Coturnix japonica: one gene and its partner. The protein of the gene in region 1 interacts with the protein of each later gene in a biochemical or structural test. Links are inferred from orthologs where the notes say so. Each region holds a gene or a part of one and is shown in the gene's direction. Other genes may lie near its edges.

What was found.
Region 2: the proteins of RAPGEF2 (region 1) and RAP1A form a complex in vitro, tested with the Homo sapiens proteins (2 studies listed by BioGRID and IntAct, with this or other methods). The link is inferred for Coturnix japonica from reciprocal best matches to the Homo sapiens genes RAPGEF2 and RAP1A.

What each region holds. Positions count from the first base shown.
Region 1 is NC_029519.1:19,462,948-19,467,074, forward strand, and holds the start of RAPGEF2 (rap guanine nucleotide exchange factor 2), read left to right. Parts: upstream 1-1,489; 5' UTR 1,490-1,499; coding exon 1,500-1,568; intron 1,569-4,127. Other genes in the region: translation initiation factor IF-2-like, read left to right, coding at 627-674, 782-1,489. UniProt on the Homo sapiens protein: Functions as a guanine nucleotide exchange factor (GEF), which activates Rap and Ras family of small GTPases by exchanging bound GDP for free GTP in a cAMP-dependent manner.
Region 2 is NC_029541.1:3,384,647-3,388,034, forward strand, and holds part of RAP1A (ras-related protein Rap-1A), read left to right. Parts: intron 1-675; coding exon 676-732; intron 733-845; coding exon 846-986; intron 987-2,758; coding exon 2,759-2,902; intron 2,903-3,388. UniProt on the Homo sapiens protein: Counteracts the mitogenic function of Ras, at least partly because it can interact with Ras GAPs and RAF in a competitive manner. Together with ITGB1BP1, regulates KRIT1 localization to microtubules and membranes.

The sequences.
Region 1 (4,127 bases):
AGGATTAACCCAAAGAGTTATCTTTGTTGATGAACTAAATATAGAGTTTCGAGAGGTTTAGAAGGATACTGTTTGAAGACATGGCCAGTAAGAGGGTCATCTGTGTCTAAAAGCATAAGGTTGTGTCTCCTGAGACCAGAAGTGTATGCCATATAAGAGAGAAAAAAAACATTCTTAATACTAATGTCCATACATTTTCACAAAGACATAAAAATAAACGTTATAAGACCTTCCTTATGATCAAATGTAAATCTATTTCAGCGAGTGAAAATCAATTCAGTCAGATTTCCTGATGTCAGTATTATTTACACTGCGTGATACGTATCAGTGCAAGGTAGACATTGTTTATGGAAGGAAACACAGCAACAGTTTTACATTGCCATTAATGACACCTTAATAGCTGTTCCGTGCTTAGTGTTGCTGGGCTGCTTTTGTGGTGTGTTCATGTCAAGTAACAAACAGTACCAGCCATGGGACGAGATCACTGCTCTTTACTGACCATGCTTAGGTGAAAGGGCCACTCGGCAGCCCCAGAAGATGCTGGTTTGGTGCCACGGTGCTCCTTTCCTTGGTCCCCTTCTTGCCTGTGTGGGGTAGTGGGTCAGTGAGGGTCAGTGATGGGACAAATGGCAACAGGTGGCCTGGCCAAAGCTGCTGGCCACCCCAGCCAGCTGGTGGGGCTTCAGCACCCAGCTTGGAGGCCGTGAGCACCAGACGTGTCTCCGAAGCTGTTGTCTCTTTTGCCGCACATCCCTCGGGACTACTGAGCCCTCCTTTTTAGGATATCAGCCTCTCAAACGATGGACGTGGAGTTTTGGAGCTGGCTTCCCGGGCTGGCTGGCGTGCAGCCGGGATCAGTTCAGCCCCGCTTTGGCGCAATCCAGCTCGGGCCCAGGCGCTGACCTCGCCAGCCGCGCTCGGGCGCTGCTTCTGCCATCATCCCGCAGCCTGGGACAGGCGGGACACGGGTAGACCTGTCGGTGCCGAGAGCGGCCGCAGCGGAGGGCGAGCCGGGGCCGGCATCGCGCACAAAGCACCGGGCGCGGAGCCGGCAGCCCCCCGCCGCCCGAGGCCCCCCGCGGTCCGCCCCAACCCCGCCCCGGCCGGCCCGCCTCGGCCCCGCCTCCCCGAGCCAGCAACTTCCCCGTCTCCGAGACGGGCGCGGAGCCCCAGCAGCTCCGATGGGAGGCGGCGGAGGCGCCCGTGGGGATGCGGCGGATCGAGCCGGCGGGAGGCGCAGCGCCGGGTAGAGCGGGAGCGCGCAGCCGCCTCCGCCGGGCGCCCCCAGCCCGCCGGGAGCCCCCGCGCCTCCGGGGCTCGGCCGCGGCCTAATCCGGGCGGCGGCGCTGCTGAGCACAAGTGCCGCCGGGGTCCCCGCGCCGCCTCCCTCCGCTCTCCTCGGGCCGCAGCTCCAGGCCGCCGCCGGCACTCCTCTCTTCTGCCGTCCCGCCCTTCCGAGCCGGGCGGGAGCGGCCGCCGCGCCGGCTGAGCGAGGCGCGATGGCGTCCTACGTGGATAACAGCTTCCGCCAGGCGGTGATGAAGAACCCGGCGGAGCGGAGCCCCCAGGTAGGCGGCCCCTTCCCCGCGACCCGGGCGTGGAGGCAGGCGGGGGCCCCGCTACCGGGCGAGGGCGTTGGGGAGAGGAGCGGAGGGGAGAGGCGACGGCAGGGCGTGCAACTTTCCTCCCGCTGCCCGGTCTGGGGTCGGGATGGACGCTCCGTACATCGGGTGCTTCCGGCGGGACGGACGGACGGCTCTGATGCTGAGCCCCATCCCGGCCATGGGCGCTGTTGGGGCTTAAGGCGAGCTGGAAAGGCGGCAGCCCGGCGTGAGCTCCCGCTGCTCCCGGACGGGTGCTGCTGCCAGCTGTCTGCGGGCTAATGAGCTTTGCGCTGATCCCCCATCGCCGTGCTCCGCGGTTAGCGGTGCGAGCGAGGAGTTATACTTTGCTGCGAGTTGCGGTGCCATCTGCCCTATTTTCCACAAGCTCTCCCCGCGCCCTGGGAGCCCGTTGCACTCTGGTTTTTAGGAAGAGATGTTTTCGCTGATTATTTTGGCAAGCCTCTGATTGGCTGGCAAAGGTTTCAAATTGGGGGCAAAGAGGAAACCTTAACTTTCGGCCTGCACCCATAAGTCATTCCTTTTGCTAGAGAGACGTCATTGTGGTCATGTTATTTTTATCCCTGTGCTGGTGGAATATGTGTGAGAAAACAAAAGCTCCCATGGAAAAACACACCAGCCGCACGGGCATTGCGTTAACCTGTCTTCTTTATTCATCTTCTAGTCTCCCTGTTATTTTTTTTTATCCTACTTCTGGAATGTGTTATTTTGGAGCTCGAGTTGTTCCTTTGTCCTTGATTGACCTTTCCAAATGTCCCTCTGCTCAGTGCAGGAGTGATCCCTTGGCACCCACTGGAAATGCAGTGTTCTGGCAGCCAAGTTCCTGTGCTGGGACAATTCCAGGGTGGGAGCCTTGGAGTGGTGCTTGCCCTGGAAGGTGGTTGTGGAGTGGTGGCCGGCTGCTGGTGGGGAGTGACACCACCAGTTGCTCAGGAACCAGTCAGTCAGGTCGTGGGGCCACCAGGCTGAGCTCGGGGAGCCAATACTTCCCTGTGACAGCTGTGAGCTTGTGCCAGGTGAGGCTGGAGCCTTGGCCCTGCCAGGCCACACTCTTTGTAAGGGGCAGCTGAAAAGAGCAATGAACAAGTAGGAACTGGTGCAGTGAGGAAATCAGCTGGAAAGCAGGGACAAAGCCAGTGTGAAGGGCACAGAGCTAAATTGGGAACACCAGGACTGCATTAATGTGCTAAAACTTCAAGAATCAGCAGGCTGAAAGCGTGCTGTGGCAGTTGCCACAGGAAAAGAAACCCACCCTGAAATCCACAGAGCTGACTGGCCAAAATAAGCCACAAATAGACCAGGCTGGTGGGAAATAGAGCGTGTCATCAGAATCGTAGAATGGCTTAGGTTGGGAGGGACCTTAAAGATCACTGAACTCCAACCCCCTGCTGTGAGCAGGGCTGCCACCCACCAGATCAGGCTGCCTGGGGGGGTTGGGACATCCATTACTTCTCTGGGCAGCCTCTTTAAGCACTGTGGGTGCTGGGAGCTGGGGCTCAGGCATGCTTGCCCAGTGCTGCCAGTGGGAGTGAGATGGTGGGGAGAGGGCCCTCTGCTCCCCTGGATCTGCTGTCCATAGTCATGCTGTTGGGCCAGTCCTCTAGTGCTTGTTTTGCACTCTGGAAGTAGTCTCAGCTTTATCTTACAGCACTGTTGGAATTTGAAAGAAATGTAGCTATGAGTGATATGTCTGTAATGCAGTTATCAAGTAAAATGAAAAACAAACGAAAGAAGTTTCTGTATGAAGAAACAAGGACCTTGTTTTTTCTTGTTCCCTGAAAGTGACTTTTTTTCTGTCCCTGTTTTCCCTCTGCTTACATTTTTGTTTCTGCGGCTGTCTTGTGAAGATACTTTTAGCTTTTGGGAACTCATTAGGTCAAGTCATTGGGAGCTGACAGAGAGTTAGGAAGAGACAATATATTTATCGTCTTTGTGTCAGTACAGGAAATAACTTGACAGTAGTGTTAGTATTGTGTTCGCTGCCCACTCATGTTAACCAGCTCACTGGGCTCAGCTTCTCCCAAATTAGGGAGATGTGGATTTGTATCTGACATTATTGCTCTGTCCTGCACCAAGCAGAGTGTCTTCACTGCAGGCTCAGAGCGAGGAGTGGAATGACAACAGCACAGTGAGCACTCAGGTGTAGGTACAGCTTCAGAAACTGTTAGAACTGATGTAATCTGTTGGGGAAAGCAAACTAAACTGCATGAGCATGTGTAGTGCAAAAGCCTCCTGGTAATTTTGGACAGGACTGATTCTTTATTTTTGGAAGGCAAACAATTCTGCACCTGCTTTGGGAAGTTCTTAGTGTAATCCATACGTAATCCGTGTGTCCTTGTTTAAAAGTTTCTTTGAGTTCTACATATTACAACTCAACACGCCATTGACTAGAACTCTAAATTAAAAATAAATGGAAGCACACGTAGCCTGTACTTCAGCATGACTGTTGTGTAACAGAGCTCTCCTCTTTAACTGCTTTATTAAACTATTCATTTTCTCTTTGAA
Region 2 (3,388 bases), on another chromosome or scaffold:
TAATAAGAAAAGGGCCAATGGTGCTGTTAAATTGGCTGTTTTTACCTCTATTTAATAGGAGAACTTAACCTCTGTTGCTCGCACAACTTTTAGATCTCTGATGTCTTTGTTGCTTTCTCTTGGTGTTATTCTGCTTAGTTTGAAGGCACATACAAAGTCTCTGCAGCTGCTTTGCACGCAGGGCTGAGCAGAAGTCCTTGTCAGGATCCCTGACCCTGGTGTTATGCAGCTCTATTAACAGTGCTGCTTTCTTCTCTGGGATTGATGTCAAGGAACCCATTGTTTAGCAGATTAGCATAATTGTTGCCATAATTAAAGACACCAAAACAGAAAACAAAACTTGCAGCCTTCATGCCTGCAATAATTAAGCATAAATTCTGAGCTCTGCTGTTAAGATTTATTCAGCTTTCGTAGAATTACCCACGGGGAGTCAGAGGCATTTCTTAGATGGTGAAAGGTTTGATAGGCCTGAGCGTGAGCAGAGGTACAAGGGAGCTGCCCCATGTGCCAGCTGGGGGTGTCACTGAGCTCTGATAGCAGAGCCTCTCATGGTGCTGGGAAGGTGCTGTACTGCAGAACTCTCTGTTGCAGAAGTGAAAAATGAAGCTGAGATTCCTCTCTTCTGCCTCATTTTGGAGGCTTTACTTTTAACTGTTTCTTTCTCTTTTTCCCCAGCAAGTGGAGGTAGACTGTCAACAGTGTATGCTTGAAATCCTGGATACAGCAGGGACAGTAAGTGTAACCCCTTTTTCTAATTGGCACCTCCTTATCTCCATACAGCAAAGCTATTCCATCACAAACATCCATCAGCTGCATTAATGCCATTCCTTTTTCCTTGACTCCAGGAGCAATTCACAGCAATGAGGGATCTCTATATGAAGAACGGCCAAGGGTTTGCACTAGTATATTCAATAACAGCACAGTCCACGTTTAACGACCTACAGGACCTACGGGAACAGATCTTACGGGTGAAGGACACTGAAGATGTAAGTACAACATTGTCTGGTTTTGTAAATGAATAGCATATCTTCCGAATGAAGCACGTGGAAATTTGTACGTGAGCAGAATGTCTTTCTAGGAATACTCATTGCTGCACAGCCAAGTTTTGTGCTGGAGTTCCCTCTGCAGTGTTTGTGACATTAAAAACAACATCTCGAGTTTGCTGGAAAGCTGACAGTCTGGATGGGGAGTGATAGCAAAATGGTGGGAGTCTTTTTTAGTGTTGGTGTTTTCCTCTTTCACTGTGCATTAGCAGGACTTCATTTCCTTCAGACTAAAGAGAAATCACTGTTACATTTGCCAATAATGATTCAGTCACTAAAATGGATTTATGGTGTTGTGCCAGGGGGTGGCACATAGAATCATAGAATGGCCTGGGTTGAAAAGGACCACAATAATCATCTGGTTTCATGCCCCTGCTGTGTGCAGGGTTGCCAACCACCAAACCAGGCTGCCCAGAGCCACATCCAGCCTATTTGTTCAACCCAAGGCTCAGAACCTCTTCAACTTTCATGCTCAGTTTTGGGCTTCCATTTTTAAGTTTCAGGGCACAGCTTTTAACATCCCAGCACTTAAACCATTAACCTTAGTCTGTGTTTAAATCCAGTCTTCACATGACACAGGAAGTGATAGAGCAAGTTGTTCTACTTCCCTTTTCTGCTCCACATTGATTACTGTATCCTGAAATAACCTTATAAAAAGTTTGGAATCTTTCAAACCTGTCCCATTAATCAACTAAGTAGCACTTTTTTTTCCCCCCTATCATTTCTCATTTTCATTTCCTTCTTTTATTTGCTGAACATGTTCAGAAGGAGAGAGTGTAAGAGAGAGCATTGGGCTGAGATGGTTGTGAATCATAGAAGGGTTTGGGTTGGAAGGGACCTGCAAGGTCATCTGTTCCCAACCCCCTGTTACAGGCAGAGACACTTCCATTAGCCCAGGTTTCTCGCTGCCCCCATCCAGCCTGGCCTTAATGTGAAATGATCTTTTGAGGGGGGTTTTGTGCCTTCAGCTTTCTGATGTAAGAAGTAAAATTTACTTCTTAAGCATAAAAGTGCCGTCGTTTTCTGCTCAATACGGCTGTTTTAAAGACAAAAATTAATCTTGAGTGCAGCTGAATGAGAGGGAGAGACTGCAAATACTTTCAAGTGGATTAGAAAGCGTATAGTGTGTTGGAAATTATCAAAGGAAGTGGATGGTGATTTATTTCCCAGCTGGAGAGTACTCATTTTCTGCTCAAAGAATGAAATGCTTCAGGAAATGGAGCGAGGCACACACCCACCAGCAGCAGCTCTTTGGGTTTGGGGTTTTTTCTACGTGTGTATAGCAAAGGGAAACAGCTGCTGAAGGAGAGGGGCTGACGGCCATCACTGTGCTGTGGAGCAAATGACTTCTTGTGTCTGCATTGTGGATATAGGCTGAATACACTGAAAATGCACCAAATGTGTATTTTAATGTGGCATTTATTGGAAGCTCCTTTTGGGAGCTGAGCTGCCAAGGGCTCGTTAATTAGAAACTTCAGTTATTATCAGCGAGTCATTATTAATGATGGTTTCAGTGCTATTTGTAGTGAATGCCCTTTTATCTGTGCATAAAATACATCAGTGATGCAATATGCACTGTGATGTGATGGGCAGATGGCCGTGTGCTGGGGCTCTGGGACCACATAGCTGCATTTCATTGACAGCACTGCTTGGGCAGTAGGTGTTGTATATTATGTTGCTGACACATCTCGTCCTCTTGCTCATCCCTTCTCCAGGTTCCAATGATTCTGGTTGGCAATAAATGTGACCTGGAGGAAGAACGTGTAGTCGGCAAAGAACAGGGTCAAAACTTAGCAAGACAGTGGTGTAACTGTGCCTTTCTAGAATCGTCTGCAAAGTCTAAAATCAATGTTAATGAGGTAAGTATGAGCTGCACCTTGTCTTTCTCACTTCTACATGAATGCCTTGTAGAGTAGAATCATAGAATTGCTCAGGTTGGAAAAGACCTTAAAGATCATTGAGTCCAACCACAACCTGACCATACTATTCTAACAGCCCTCTGCTAAATCACGGCCCTGAGCACCACATCCAGATGGTTTTTAAACACCTCCAGGGAGCATGGATAGCAGAGGGTCCCGAGTGACCTGGATGACTCTTAGATAAACTTCTACACGTTTTAAAGATAACAACTGCTGCTATTCTGAATGTGGATATGCCCCACTGTATCACTTGTCGTGTTGCATAGTATTGGCTGTTGGTTTTGAAAGTATTTGCTTTTCACATTCCTGCTACATCTGGCTGCTCAAGCAGACATCCCATCACAGTTCCTCCTCTGGTAAGCCACTGATTTACTGAGCCCATTTCCAAACATGGATCTATCTGCACAGTTTTCCTTGTTTAAATGA